Xenopus tropicalis: one gene and its partners. The protein of the gene in region 2 interacts with the protein of the main gene of each other region in a pairwise test. Links are inferred from orthologs where the notes say so. Each region holds a gene or a part of one and is shown on either strand. Other genes may lie near its edges. The genes, in order: lnx1, dab1, clasrp and mbnl1.

Region 1 (3,572 bases), on a different chromosome or scaffold from region 2:
TAGCAAATTAGTTCTGATCAATAGTTAAATGTAGTCATAACAAAGGTCTGGTTGCCACAGGTTGCTGCGCTGGTATAAAGTTCCACATACAATATCTTGAATCCTCCCTATCCAGCCTCAATGACCATTTTATTATAGACTTTCTGCCCTCCAGCTGCAGTTACAATACAACTTCCATCATCCCCTACTATCAGAGGTGGGGTCTGTTGACGTATAACAACTGATGGAGGACAGATGTTTGGAATTCCCTTTGCTTTGCTTTTTACAATCACAAAGATGCTCCTAATGACAAGTGAAACTGTACTGAATGCAGGAATGCAAGTTTGGGCAATTTCCAGCTAATACCATTATAACCTAACAGAAACCTGCATGTTAAGGCAAGTCTAAAACTTCTGCCAAAACATCTATAGATCAGAAACTTGGCTTTAAGGGAACGGTATCTTCCCCCGAGGGGTCGGTGGCATGTTAATTAGACTTAATTATTCCATGAACTTAATTCTTTTTTCACGTTGCTAACTATAGAATTAAACCATAGAATGTGCCTGTGCAATATCATTGCCCATGCTCTGTTACATGTATGACCCACAAGAGCAGTTGTGGTTGTGCTGTTGTTGCATGAATATACAACATTCCATAAAGGTGCGTACATCTAAAGTGTCTAAAGCGGCCTCTTGAACTCTCACATAGTTGCACTAAATGCTGTTGGTTATACCTCCTATTGTAAGTTACACACAGTGTGCCTATTGATGCAGGGGAACCAGTGGTGTAAATACTCTGCACTGGACCCCCTGCAAAAAAAAATTCAGAGGGGCTTGGTAGCAAACTCTACATGCCCCTCCCCCCCACAGGAGTTCCCCCGCCCACTTGCAAATTTGGAGACGTCCTCCTGAAATCGCACACTGCACTTGCAGTCATAAATGAGCCCCTATAATTCCTGGCAATGTATTAACTGATTTAATCTGGCTATTTTTATGTAACATTTCATGTTTTCTTAAGCACACCTCATAATGATACTTAACTGCTGTCATTAATGGGTGAATGATCTTATTTTATTACACTTCAATAATATGGTTTTATAATTTACAAATTCGCCAAAAAATATGTTTTCAAGTGGTTGTTATTGCTTGCATCTGTAAAAGTACATATATGTCATGGGCTTTCCCTAAACAGATTGGTGTTACAAAAGGATGGAAGTCTCTATGAAGGAATAGTAGCTAGTATAAAACTAGTACCCATGGGTGTGGCGGCAAGTCGTATATTTAACAGGAAATGATCCTCCCTAAACAAGCAGATATAAAATAATATTGCTTATCAAAAAGGAGGTCAAATATTTTTCAGGTTAGAGCAAATAAATACATTCATAGGAAATGTTCTGCCCATAATAGATTTTTTTGATTGGTCCCTATTTGTACAATAATCACTTATCCAAACCAGTGTATATTGTATACTTTGTGTTTATAATGAATTGCACTTTCTATCTCAAGACTTCTTTGTTCCTCTCAAAGGCGCTTTCAGAACACTTTACAGGAGTCACCCTTGTTTTGTGAAATAAGAGACATGAGATGTCTCCGTAAATGACTTTAGCTCTTGTATCGAGGGCAGGTTGAGACTGGCATGAAGATGGATCTATTCTTGTCTATCTGATGGAATGGATATTTACTTTAGTGCAAGGAATGTTACAGAATAATAAATATCCAGGGGCATTCATTTAAGCAGCCAGCATGAGGTAACACCCACATTCTCGATAAATGTAGTGCACCTTCATTATTTAATACTGTCATAAACACCAATTTGTACCTACAAACTTGTCTTAATATGAAATTGTGATTTGTGATTCCAGTAAATGGTACAACCCTGTTTCCAAAAAAGTAAAAATGTAAATGAAAAATGTAAATGAAAAGATACTGCAATACTTTGCAAATTATGTAAACCCTATATTTAATTGCAGATAGTACAAAGGTAACATATTAAATATTAAAACTTGTTATTGTTTTCTTTCTTATGATTGTTTTGGATGGGTGACAGGTCTGGGCTGCAGGCAGATAGGCAGTTTATCACCCAGAATCTCTTACTTGTTGTAAAGCCATGCAGAATGCAGTTCGGCACTGTCTTGCTGAAGTAAGTATGGCCTTCCCTGAAAAAGACGCTGTCTAGATGGCAGCATACAGTATGTTGCTCCAAAACCTCCAGCTTTAATGGTGCCTTCCCAGATGTGCAAGCCACCCATGCCACCACAGATGCTGCCTATTGATAACAAGCCATATGAGCTACCTTCTACTCTTAAGTATCTTTTTAATACTGTAAATGTTTAAATCCCCTACTTTTTATGCAACAATTTACCTTACATGTCTAAATGCGTATTATATAGTTTGTATTGATTTCAGAAGCAAGAGCATTAATAATCATCCCTTACTCCACAAACACCCCTGTCAAAATGTATGGCCAGTTATTCTTGTCCAGCCCTCTCAGGGAGTGATTTATTGTACTATTCCACAGATATGGGTAATATTTCTCTCTTTCTATCCCATTAAACAGGTATGTAATATATGGAATATTTGTAACCTGGTATTTTTCATTATAAAGGGGTCTTTCACGAATGTGGGACACGATGCATTATGGCTACTAAAACATTTCAACTGTAAAAGGGATTATTTTGCATCAACATAGATATATCATAATTTAATAAAAATCATGTACAAGGGCCTTTTTTATTATTAAGATATACAAAACTTATTTAGGCTATAGGCACTAATGTGTTTTGTTGTCTGTATTAACGCCATACAGGTTTGTGTGATCAAGATTGGGACTGAAATCTCCTTGCTCTGCACCCTACATTATGGAGTCAAATGATGCAATTGAAGAACTGGACAATGAAAAACCCCAATCACTGTGTACTGTATGTGGTCAACTGCATTCAGAAGAGGAGAACCATTCTTATACATACACTGAGGAAGTGGATGATGATTTGCTGTGCAATATCTGCTTGCATGCCCTCATACAACCGCTAGACACTCCATGTGGCCATACCTACTGTACTCTCTGCCTCACTAGCTTTCTAGTCCATGAAGACTTTTGCCCTGTGGATCGTAAGCATATTTTGTTGCAGACTTGCAAGAAATCCACCATACTTGTAAAAAATCTTTTAGATAAACTTCCAGTCATCTGCCCATTTAAGGAACACTGTACAGATATTGTTCAACGGTGTGACCTTGAGGAACACTTCCAGAACAGGTATGTTCCTTCTCTATGTCTATGTTATGGTAAATCTGTTTTCCAAGTCACTTATAACATTGTGTTTGTTCTAGTTCTATGACTATGCAACTGATTGTTGTTGCTGTTGAATTAATCTCCATTATTCTGAATTGGTGAGCATCTATGCATTTACAATAGTGCTGCCTTTGGTACAGGTTATAATTTTGTCCAGGTGTCTAGATTAGAAACCTCTAGTGCAAGAATCCCCAACCTTTTTTTACTTGTGAGCCACACTCAGATATAAAACGTGTTGGTGAGCCACACAAGCATGAAACAAGTTCTTTGAAGATGCCAAATAAGGGCTGTGATTGGCTATTTGG
Region 2 (3,572 bases):
CTTACAGAATAGAAAATTACACACAGGGAGGACAAGTGATATAATAAATAAATACAATAAATACATATATGTATACATATATATATATAAGTGCCATGTGGTATGAGACACAGTAGGAAGGAGGTCCCTGCCCCGTAGAGCTTACAATCTGTGTCCGTTTTTTTGTCATAGAGATATTAATGCCCATCTGCTGTTTCACATACACTTGGTTTTTCTCATTGAGTTTTTCAATTTTCGGTTGATGCTACCACTAGCACCACAACTTTAATTAGAAAAGCTAAGTGATAAGTCACTCTGTAACACTTGAATATGAATTGAGAACACAATGTAAAAGAAAGTTTAAATATTTTCCTTGCATAAACTACAGCTACATGATGAATGTATTTGTTTCCATATGAAAAATGTTTCTTAACAGGTTTCGACAGCATGCAGGCTGCAGAGGAAAATTATTAGTTTCAAACCACTGACTCCAAAAAGAATTTGATGGAGTCTGTTTAACTTCTGGCAGGCAAATCTGTAATATAGAATGAAATATGGATTCCATAGCAGTCCGTATTCTTTTATCTATCTTTTAACAAATGATTCTTTTATCCTTACCTAACCGTGTCCTCCAAAACCCAGTTCCGTCTCAATGTCATTATAATATATGCTGTAAACAGAGATTTTTAGAGCAACTCCATTTTCACTTGATGTGAGCTATAAGAATGCGTCTGCTAATTGTTGCCAATGTCATCTCTCTACCTAGCGCCAACGCCAGCCCCGAGGCAGAGCTCTCCTTCAAAATCCTCAGCGTCTCACACAAGCGATCCCATTCCTGATGACATCTTTGAAGAAGGCTTTGAAAGTCCCTGTAAAAGTGGAGAACAAGATGCAGTAAGTCCCTCTAAGATAAAAGCTGATTCCCCAGACAACACAAAGATACTGACATACATTCTGCTCAATAATATATACCAGAAGCTGAAAGGAATGTAGAAAAGAAAGCAAATTTTAAAGTTGGTTCTGCAATTTTAGGCAGGAGTGTTGTTTGATACTGTGAATTCTTTAGCTGTAGCAGAATATGTAAGTAGCCGGTAGCTGCTTTGTGCTTGAGCTTGTACTGAATGTACAAGAATTGAAAGATACATGGGGAGTTGTTTTCAAAACTAAATACAGTATATTTATTTGGCATTAAAGGAAGATTTTAGAGTTTAGAAATAAAACTGTCTTCTCTTACAAACTAATAGAAATGCTTTAATCCTGCTCTTTTCTAAACTGTCTGCTCTTTCGCTGTTTAGCAATATGAGTGTTATTGTTCTTGTATTTTAGCCTGATGCATCTCAGGCCTCATCCTGCACTGACCTAGGTGAGCCAAGTGGTGATGCTATAAGCCCACAGGTCGGTAGCTAGATAGCACAGCTGGCGGTAGGTATCTGTCTCTTTCTCTTATTCTTGTTGTATCCCTTCATTCACACTTTGTTTCATACCTTTCCAATAATTTTCTTCTTCGCGATCTCTTTGCTACACCCAATGTGAAGCTTGTTTTTCCATTTTGTACATAATTCCTAGTACCTTCATTTATGTTACACTTAGTTTGTGCTGTGTCCTGTATGGTTTGTCCAAAATATATTTTGCTACTACCTTATATGGTTCTGTTAAATATCTATTGCATCAATAGGCCAATATCTAAACTGTCTGTATAGTTACCAATGCCTATATGTTTAGCCATCATGTTGTTATGCTTAATAGGCTGCACTAAGGTATAAATTCTGCCAGTTTAATTAAAGCACATTTGGGAGAGAGAGAATAGTTCATTACTCACTTGTTTTTATTTACACCCTTATCTAATTATAGTGATGAGAAAATCTGTCCCGTTTTGACAAAAAGTTTTTGAAACCTCAGTACAATTTGCCAAACTGCAAAAATTGGTGAAACGCATTAAAGTTAATGGGTATTTTTTTCAATATCTTTTCTTTAGCAAATTGTATTTAAGTCAATCAGAATTTTTTGGTGGAGCTTTTTTTTTTACAAAAAATACATTGAAGTCAAATTCACTGCAGTAAAAAAAAAAAATTTGCAATGTAATTTTGCTGCAGTTTTGCAAAAAAAAAAACAAAAAAAATCATCACTGGCAAAACGTGGAATCCATGCCGGGTGAAAAATTTTGCTCTTCTCAGTGAACCTTATGCTAAATCAGAATAGAAGTGTGTGCCAATCTGGGAATAGGTGACTTTGGGAAGGATAGTGTCAGGTAAACACCAATATATGATATAAATAATAATAACCCTCCCCCAAAAAAGATTATAAGCTATAGCGAGGAAATGGAAGCAATGGCTATTTTAATAAAACCACTATTTACTACATGTTTGCGCATGATCTTAATTTATTCTGTTAGGATAAAGACATACAGAGCTACTTAGTAGCAGCTAATTGTTGTGGCTAAGAAGGGTATTAATATGAAATTGGTCCTCCCTTTTGCTGCAACAACAGCATTCACTCTTGTGTGAAGCCTTTCCACTAGATTTTGGAACAATATTGGTGGGCTTGCCATTTCATCCAACAAATGTTGGATGTGTTCAGTTGGGTTCTTCCACCCCCATCTCAAATAACAAGTTATCTGTACTTACCTCACTTTGTTTACTGCACTATTATTGCAAACAATATTGAAACAAGAAAAAGTATTTTCCAAGTAGGAGGTAAGAAATTATCAAAAATGTCGTTATATGCTTACCAGGAGGGCTGTGGATAAGACTGCACCAGCTCTCCACCTCGGCATTGCACTTGGGTCTGTAGTTCTTAAATCACTTTATAGTGTACTGCAAGATTATTATTTACTCTTTTTATGACTTCTTACATATTTTAACACATATTGTAGGTTTTTTGTAACTCAGGCAGGGTTGGACTGGGCTGGAAAATAAACTCCGGTGGGCCCTGGTTCTGGTGGGCCCCGGCGGCCCAGATGCGATCCCTGTTGCTGGTGTCCCTCCCCTGATGCGTTGAAAGTAAGTTTCACTTACATGCGCTCAGAGGAGGACATCGGGCGGGTGTAGGGGCCCCTGTGGGGGTTTAGGGTGTCCTGGTGGGGGCCCCTATGGGGTGTATGGGGGATGCAGCGGGGGCACCGTGGGGGTGCAGGGCCCCTGGGGAAGTAGGCCCTGAACCCCCCAGTCCAACCCTGAACTCATCAGTAAGTGTTCCTGCTGATGACATGGTTTTAAAAAGGGTGTTCTTCATTACTGCAGATTACACAGTTTGTGCCACAGAGTTCCTCCTGCTTTATGGCTGGTTGTAAATATTATCCTAAACTCCTATAAATAATATTAAAACAACTACACCAGTTTAGTTAAATTCAAAAGGGACACTGAGCAGTTTTCAGATCTCGATGAAAGAATTGTTATGTAGTGTACTTCTCTCAGGTATTGAAAATTGAACATTATATTTACAGTCAAGGTACTCCCTTGAGATATTTAACAATAAAACTTTTAGTACATACACTCTTAATGAAAAAGCTGGTATTTATAAAATCAACTCCCTTATAGCTATTCTAGAGAAAGATCATGTTTTATTGAATAGTGGTTTCATTTCAAACATTTTTT
Region 3 (3,572 bases), on a different chromosome or scaffold from region 2:
TTTAGTTTAAGGAATTCTATTCTAATTGTCTGTAAATATGCTTTTTACTACATGACACAATTCAGTGGTAACTATTATAAAAATGGGGGAGGGTAAATTTACTCTTAATATAAAACATGAAAATCTAATTTGTTTTTATTGTAAGTAGTATGCTTCCCCCTTCCAGCTCTAAGGAATAACTTCCCTGTTTAAACATAGAATGCAGCACACTGATCACTCATTAAAAAAGGGCTCCCATTCCCGTGCCTTCCTAATTTGAAAGACTGTTTTTAACAAAGTGATGATGAACTGGATGGGGGATTCTGCTTTTCTGGTTTATTAAATGAGTGTAATGAATCAAATTTGAAATGTGCCTAACATTTTTATTTTGCTAGGATGCCATGGCAAGGGGATCCCAATAACATGATTGACCGCTTTGATGTGCGAGCTCACCTTGATTATATTCCGGAGTATAAACCCCCTCTGCTGACAACAATGTAAGGCAAAGCATGGCACATATATATAAAAAAAAGTGGGAAAAAATCGCATTATATCCAAAAATTTCGCATCACGATCATACAAAAATATTGTGGTACGATCTGAAAGTTCTGAAATTTTCGTATCCGAATGATTGTAAGCGGTGTGAAAAACTTTCTGACTTTGATCCTTCAGTGCATGAATTTGGAAGCCTCCCATAGGACTCAATGGAACTCTGCAGCTCCAACCTGGCCAAAGGAAAGTCACGATACCGAAGATGGAATAATTCCAAAACTTGTTTGTTTTGTCGCATAAATTCTCGCAAAGTATGAAAAAGTAGCACAAATTAAAAAATTTCGTATAAAATATGCACAGTTCTAAAACTTAGAAGAAATACGAATTGTTAGTATTCGGACTCAAACGTACATTGATGAATGGGCCCCTTAGTGTATCTTTCACCTTTATTGACCCACATTAATTAAAACACAAAAATATGTCAGATATATATTTTATAATATTTTTAGAATAGATTTTATAATATTGTTGAGGTTATTGATTTGGTTTATGCTTAAATAAATAAACCTTAAATACTTATCACTTTTAGCAAAGACAGGGATACTGGGGGATGCCAGTTTCTTCACAGCGATTACATTAAGTAACCTTGGACCCTGGCCAGTTCTCTTCTTCACTGTAAAAGCACACTGGCCCAGGGTATATTCACATAAGCACCATCTTTAGTGACTTCTGGCAGTGCTTCCTATGGGATTTTAATTAGTGTATTTATCAATTGGTGAACTTGAACTTTTACCTATTTATTTATATATAATTTTTAAAAATCCCATAGGAATCAATAGAACGTGGGTGAGTTTTTATTACGTTTATTATTTAGCTCTAAACTCACATTTTGATGACCCTACTATTTTAAAAATGTGCATGGTCCTGGAGAGCTGCTGGATTTCACTGAAGATGCAGCATGATGCTGGAAGAAATGCACTCCAGGTTGAAGTGTTTTTAAGTGAAAAGATGCACTGGCCCAACATCAGAGGGAGGATTGAAAATTTTCGTAGTTGTTTGCAGGACCAAACAGATGGCTTTCCTAGCTTCAACTAGACTTTACTTGAAATGGTCATTTTCGTTGATGGATAAGCTTGGTCCTACAGTAACAAAAAGATCTTTTAAAAATCTTAACGTGCATGGCCAGCTTAAGTCCAACTCTGTGTGGCAGATTTATTAAGACACGAATTCGAATCCCGAATGGGAAAAATTCAGATCGGATGCGATAATTTCTGAAGATCGCAAATATCACGAATATGCTTACGAAAAAATTGTATTAGTCACGATAATATCGCATTGGCGATCCGAAAGTCATAATTTTCATATCCAAACGATCGTAAAATGCAGGAAAACCTTTCTGACTTTGATCCTTCTGTGCATGATTTTGGAAGCCTCCCATAGGAATCAATGGCACTCTACAGCTCCAACCTGGCCCAAGGAAAGTCACGATACCGAAGCTTGAATGAATTTCGAAACTTTTGTAATTGTTGCGACAATATGATTTTGCCGCGTTTTTTTTTTTACGCACAGTATGAAAAGATCTCGTTAACATGCAAAAAAATCGGCAAAAATACACAAGGAACGAAAAAGTCGCAGAAAAAACGATTAATAAATCTCCCCCTGTGTGTCTCTGCTCCAATCTTCATTTAGCCGCGTCACAGTCTTATGTGCACATGATTTTGCATCGTGTGGACACACCACCAACATTAACTATGCATCCAGTCAGAAATGGCTGATGACTTCAGGGGCCAGTTCAGTAAGCAGAAAGTAAGGTACAAAAAATGAATGGTTAGATGATAGTAACATATCTGAAAATGGATTCTAGGGATTTACTGTTATATTTCTTTAGTCTGTACAGTTCTCTGATTTGTCGAAAATTCTGTAGAATTACTAAAAATCGTTCTTCTGTTTTACACCTAAACAGCTCATCTGAGCAAGAGTCTGATGACCGTAAATGTAATTATGAGCGGTATCGGGGACTTGTTCAAAACGACTTTGCTGGAAGTGAGTATCTCTACTATATTTACATTAATTAAATTAATGAGCAAGCCCCCAAGTGCTATTTTCCATTAATTTTGGGGAATGTAATGCTATTTTGACCATTTAATGCAAGTTTCTGATTTAAGTCTAGTTGGAGTGAGACACAAAGGAACAACTGAGTGCTGGAAGAGATTTCACCAGCCAGATTGGGACTCTCTCACCCAGTCAGCTGAACCATCTGATGAAACGAAAGTTTATCAGATGTTCCCACCATGTTATCTCTGAAAAATACAATTGGTTCATCACATATGAAAGTGGGGTCTTTAAGCTGACTTGATCAGTTTGTAAGCTTTGCTTTGCAATTGTTCAGCTTTTAAATTCTGGCATTGTTGCTACAACTGTTAAAGGAACAGTAACACTAAAAAATGAAAGAGCTTTAAAGTAATAAAAATATAATGCACTGTTGCCCTGCACTGGTAAAACTGGGGTGTTTGCTACAGTAACACTACTATAATTTATATAATAAGCTGCTGTGTAGCCATGGGGGAAGCCATTCAAGCTGGAAAAAAGGAGAAAAGGCACAGGTTACATGGCAGATAACAGATAAGTTCTGTAGAATACAATAGTGTTTTGTCTGTTATCTGCTATGAGCCTGTGCCTTTTCTCCTTTGAATGGCTGCCTCCATGGCTAAATAGCAGCTTATTTATATAAATTATAGTAGACTTTTTGAAGTAAACACACAACTTTAACTAGTGCAGGGCAGCAGCACATTATATTTTAGTTACTTTTATACACTTTCATTTTTTGGTGTTACTGTTCCTTTAAGACCTTTTTGGCTTTTTGAGGCCCATTTGAGCTTACTCGTGATTGCCGTTTTAATTAACTGTGAGCAATTACTTTGTTTGCCTGCCCCGCATTTTAATTTTTATACGTACGGGACAACAGTGGATTTATTATAAAAGCCCTTAGATGCTGCATTTTGTACGGTTTATATTTATATTTTAAAGGTTTTTTTTTTTTTTTCTTTCTGGCCTAAATATTTTTTTTGCAATTGTTCTTTTACTTAAAGCATATACGCCAT
Region 4 (3,572 bases), on a different chromosome or scaffold from region 2:
TGAGTAATTAGCTGTGATTCACCCATGCCTTGAGCGCATCTCATCACTCAGTGATCTTACAGCAACAATGCCTAATTAAAGTTTTTAGGGAGGCTATCAACTTTCAATTACAGAAGCAATATAGTTCCTAAACAGAGGATGCCTTTTCTGATTCCACAGCCAGCTCTTGAAATACCAGAAACAGACACAAAGTAGCTGCCCTTGGGACAACAGATATAGCTGAACTTACACAAAACTTAACTGTAAGATCAAAGTGTGCCTGCCAGTAACCCAAAAGCAGTCTGAACATATAATGGGACTCTAATGTAGGAAATACATTTTGCCACTGCATCAATTGCACCAATCTAAGCTTTGCTTTAGTTTTCTAACCTGTAGTTTACTGATAATGTATTTTATAATGTTATCGCTATTATTTTATTTTTTATTTATGGGTTCATCCCAAGGGTTAAAGGACATGTCAACCCCTTAGATGAAAATTTAATATAGTGTATAAAGGGCAGAACAGTACCTTATTATAGCTGTGGCTCTGAGTGCTGAATAATTGAGCAGTGTTGTGCTCCATGGCTATCAGTGTTCACAAACCGCTGCCTACAGACTGCCAGACAACACTCTTTGGTGTGTTGGCGTATACGCAAGTGCATTTGTAGCAAGCCTTATTAAACACATGCGCCGTCAGTACCGGCCCTTCGTTAACGCGGTTGTGCGTGTTAACAAAGCTTGTTTAAAAAAAAACTTAAAAAAAATCCTTGAAGAGATCAGCAGGAGGGGCTAGGCACACATGTGCATTTGTAACATACACGCACGCTCTTGATGACTTCACCTGTCAAAATGGCCGTCGGGTGAAACACGAAACAGAAAAAGGAATAATGCAACGGTTCGGGTTGTAGGAGGAAGTGGTGGAGTGGTACGTATGCGGTTAGGGTGGGGGTAAGGCGCCCTTGGCATTAGACTTAATTTAAAACTTAGCCTTGACATCTCCTTTAATGCATCTGGGTGCTCGTTTAAGTTAGCAAGGAACCTAGCAGAACCATATGGCTTTGTATCCCAAAGGGTTGTTCTGAGCAAATTTGGTAATTGTCTCTCTCTCTGGGTACAAAACTGTATAGAGGTAAATTACCAACGCTTGGATTCATGTGGCTGAGTACTAAGGGGAGCGAATCATATCCATTAGGGCAAAGTCCCAAAGCTCTTGTGTTTTAGACATTTCAAATTGCTAATACAGGTATGGGATCCCTTATCCATAAACCCGTTATCCAGAAAGCTCCGAATTATGGAAAGCCTGTCTCCAATAGACTCCATTTTAATTAAGTAATTCAGAATTTTAAAACTGATTTCCTTTTTCTCTGTAGTATAAAAACAGTACCTTGTAATTGATCCCAACTAAGATATAAATAATCCTTATTGGATGCAAAACAATCCTATTGGGTTTAATTAATGTTTTATTAATTTTTTAGTAGACTTAAGGTATGGAGATCCAAATTACGGAAAGACCCCTTATCCGGAATACCCTTGGTCCCGAGCATTCTGGATAATGGATCCTATACCTGTACACTGTTACCCATACTAAAGCCTGAAACTCCCAAGGGGGCTTGAACTGAAAATGTCAGACAACAACTGCTCTAGAGATTCTAATACAGGGTAATACAACATACTTTTACCCATCAATGACCAATATGCACAGTACTCTGTACCCCTGTACCCTTGCACCCAAAGCATCTAGTGCAAGGTGCAGAGTACAGTAATTGGACAAAAGAACCCTCTATATAAGCCCCATATGCCACTTGCATTCAAAGGTGCTAATTCTAAACACCTTTTAATAACGTGCAGGTAAGGCTGATGCCAGACGTGGCGTAGGGCTGATATTTTCGGCAAGCGGAAAAACGCTTGGCGAAAATACAGCCCTATGCCTGCTACTTGTGCCTGCACCCGAATGAATGAGATACGCTCGGGTGCAGGCACATGTAGCCGATATACGCATGAAAACGCGAGATAATGCAAAGTCGCATTATCTCGCGTTTTCATGCGTATATCGGCTACATGTGCCTGCACCCGAGTGTATCTCATTCATTAGCGTGCAGGCACAAGTAGCAGGCGTAGGGCTGTATTTTCGCCAAGCGTTTTTCCGCTTGCCGAAAATATCTGTGTGTCTGGCATCAACCTAATAGGTGGGATCCATAAATTGTCATTTGCAATTAGATGCCACATATTCCCAATTATACCATAAAGACCAGACCTACAGTGCTGAATGTTTTCCACAATTTATATTTGTCAGTTCAAGTCAAGAGTTAATCAGAAGATAAGAATGAAAGAAAAACTTGTGTCAGTGACATAATTCACTATGTCATGTGTTCATCACCTGAAATGCTTCAATGACTGTACTTAAAGACCTGGAGGAGAACTGGCTGCTGCTAGACATGGAATTTTCCTTTGTTTTGCTACACAAAATTAACATTTACTATAAACCCTTTTGCATGGGTTCAGTTAATAAATGTAAATCATTATCTTATCTACTGCCTTCAGTATAAAAGGTTGGCATATTGTATGGGTGTTATCAAGTACATGGCATGCAGTGGGAAGAAATGCCCACCAGAGTTCAGTAGGAACAGATGCTGTACATGGAAGGAAGTTTATGTGGGTTACAGGATGGCACTGATGTTTCCATAAACTGTTGAAGGAGATCTGTACTTTTGGAATCACCAGTGTCCGTTAATACTTGCAACAGATGTTACAGTTTTACACTGTGACTGTGTAAAACCAAAGGGCAGAAATAAATTATAATTAAAAGAATGTATATAGCATCTGTAAATTATAACATCCTGCATTGGTTATCATTGAGGTCAGTTTAGGTAGAGTTTACTAACAGTTAATTCCTTGTTTGATTTGTGCTGTATATATTTGTGATTGAACAATCATTTCTGTGACCATAACAAACCAAATTAAATGTATGTACATAACAGTATTATGCAGATTATGCTACAGAAAGACAAACCCTTATCCTGGCCTTAAGTGACTTATTCTAATGTTTTTTTTTTCAGCCAATGTTTTCAGTCGCACCAAGCCTAGCCACCAGTGCAACAGCAGCCTTTAACCCCTACCTGGGACCAGTTTCTCCAGGTCTCATGCCAGCTGAAATTCTTCCTACTACGCCAATGCTTGTCACAGGAAATCCCGGAGTGGCAGTTCCATCAGCTGCAGCCGCAGCTGCACAGAAGTTAATGCGAACAGACAGACTAGAGGTAAAGAGGCAATTCACTAATTCAATAGGACTGGCACACCTGCTTGTGTCACTTCTCTTTAGTAAAAAAAAAAGCTATATATCTATATATATATATATATATATATATATATATATATATATATATATATATAAAAAATGTTCTGCAAATTATCTGGACGCAAGATAACATCATTTGTCTTTTCTTTTCTTAACAAGAAATTGCTTAAACAAGTTATTTCTAATGACCTAATTAGTATCTGCTATTCCCAGTGGTAAGGGCAGCAGCATTTTCATTGTTTTCTACTTAGAGACATACTTTTTATAGTGTACAAAAAACAGAGTTTGGGAGCTAAAG

The links.
Region 1: the proteins of dab1 (region 2) and lnx1 interact in binary tests that used the Homo sapiens proteins (3 or more experiments, as listed by UniProt). The link is inferred for Xenopus tropicalis from reciprocal best matches to the Homo sapiens genes DAB1 and LNX1.
Region 3: the proteins of dab1 (region 2) and clasrp interact in a two-hybrid assay, tested with the Homo sapiens proteins (2 studies listed by BioGRID and IntAct). The link is inferred for Xenopus tropicalis from reciprocal best matches to the Homo sapiens genes DAB1 and CLASRP.
Region 4: the proteins of dab1 (region 2) and mbnl1 interact in binary tests that used the Homo sapiens proteins (3 or more experiments, as listed by UniProt). The link is inferred for Xenopus tropicalis from reciprocal best matches to the Homo sapiens genes DAB1 and MBNL1.

What each region holds. Positions count from the first base shown.
Region 1 is NC_030677.2:39,804,278-39,807,849, reverse strand, and holds part of lnx1 (E3 ubiquitin-protein ligase LNX), read left to right. Parts: intron 1-2,096; exon of another isoform or gene 2,097-2,118; intron 2,119-2,784; 5' UTR 2,785-2,836; coding exon 2,837-3,231; intron 3,232-3,572.
Region 2 is NC_030680.2:87,453,369-87,456,940, forward strand, and holds part of dab1 (disabled homolog 1), read left to right. Parts: intron 1-745; coding exon 746-873; intron 874-1,305; coding exon 1,306-1,386; 3' UTR 1,387-1,401; intron 1,402-3,572. UniProt on the Homo sapiens protein: Signaling adapter of the reelin-mediated signaling pathway, which regulates the migration and differentiation of postmitotic neurons during brain development.
Region 3 is NC_030684.2:71,269,613-71,273,184, reverse strand, and holds part of clasrp (CLK4-associating serine/arginine rich protein), read left to right. Parts: intron 1-374; coding exon 375-476; intron 477-2,434; coding exon 2,435-2,514; intron 2,515-3,572. UniProt on the Homo sapiens protein: Probably functions as an alternative splicing regulator. May regulate the mRNA splicing of genes such as CLK1. May act by regulating members of the CLK kinase family.
Region 4 is NC_030681.2:117,529,101-117,532,672, reverse strand, and holds part of mbnl1 (muscleblind-like protein 1), read left to right. Parts: intron 1-3,035; coding exon 3,036-3,236; intron 3,237-3,572. UniProt on the Homo sapiens protein: Mediates pre-mRNA alternative splicing regulation. Acts either as activator or repressor of splicing on specific pre-mRNA targets. Inhibits cardiac troponin-T (TNNT2) pre-mRNA exon inclusion but induces insulin receptor (IR) pre-mRNA exon inclusion in muscle.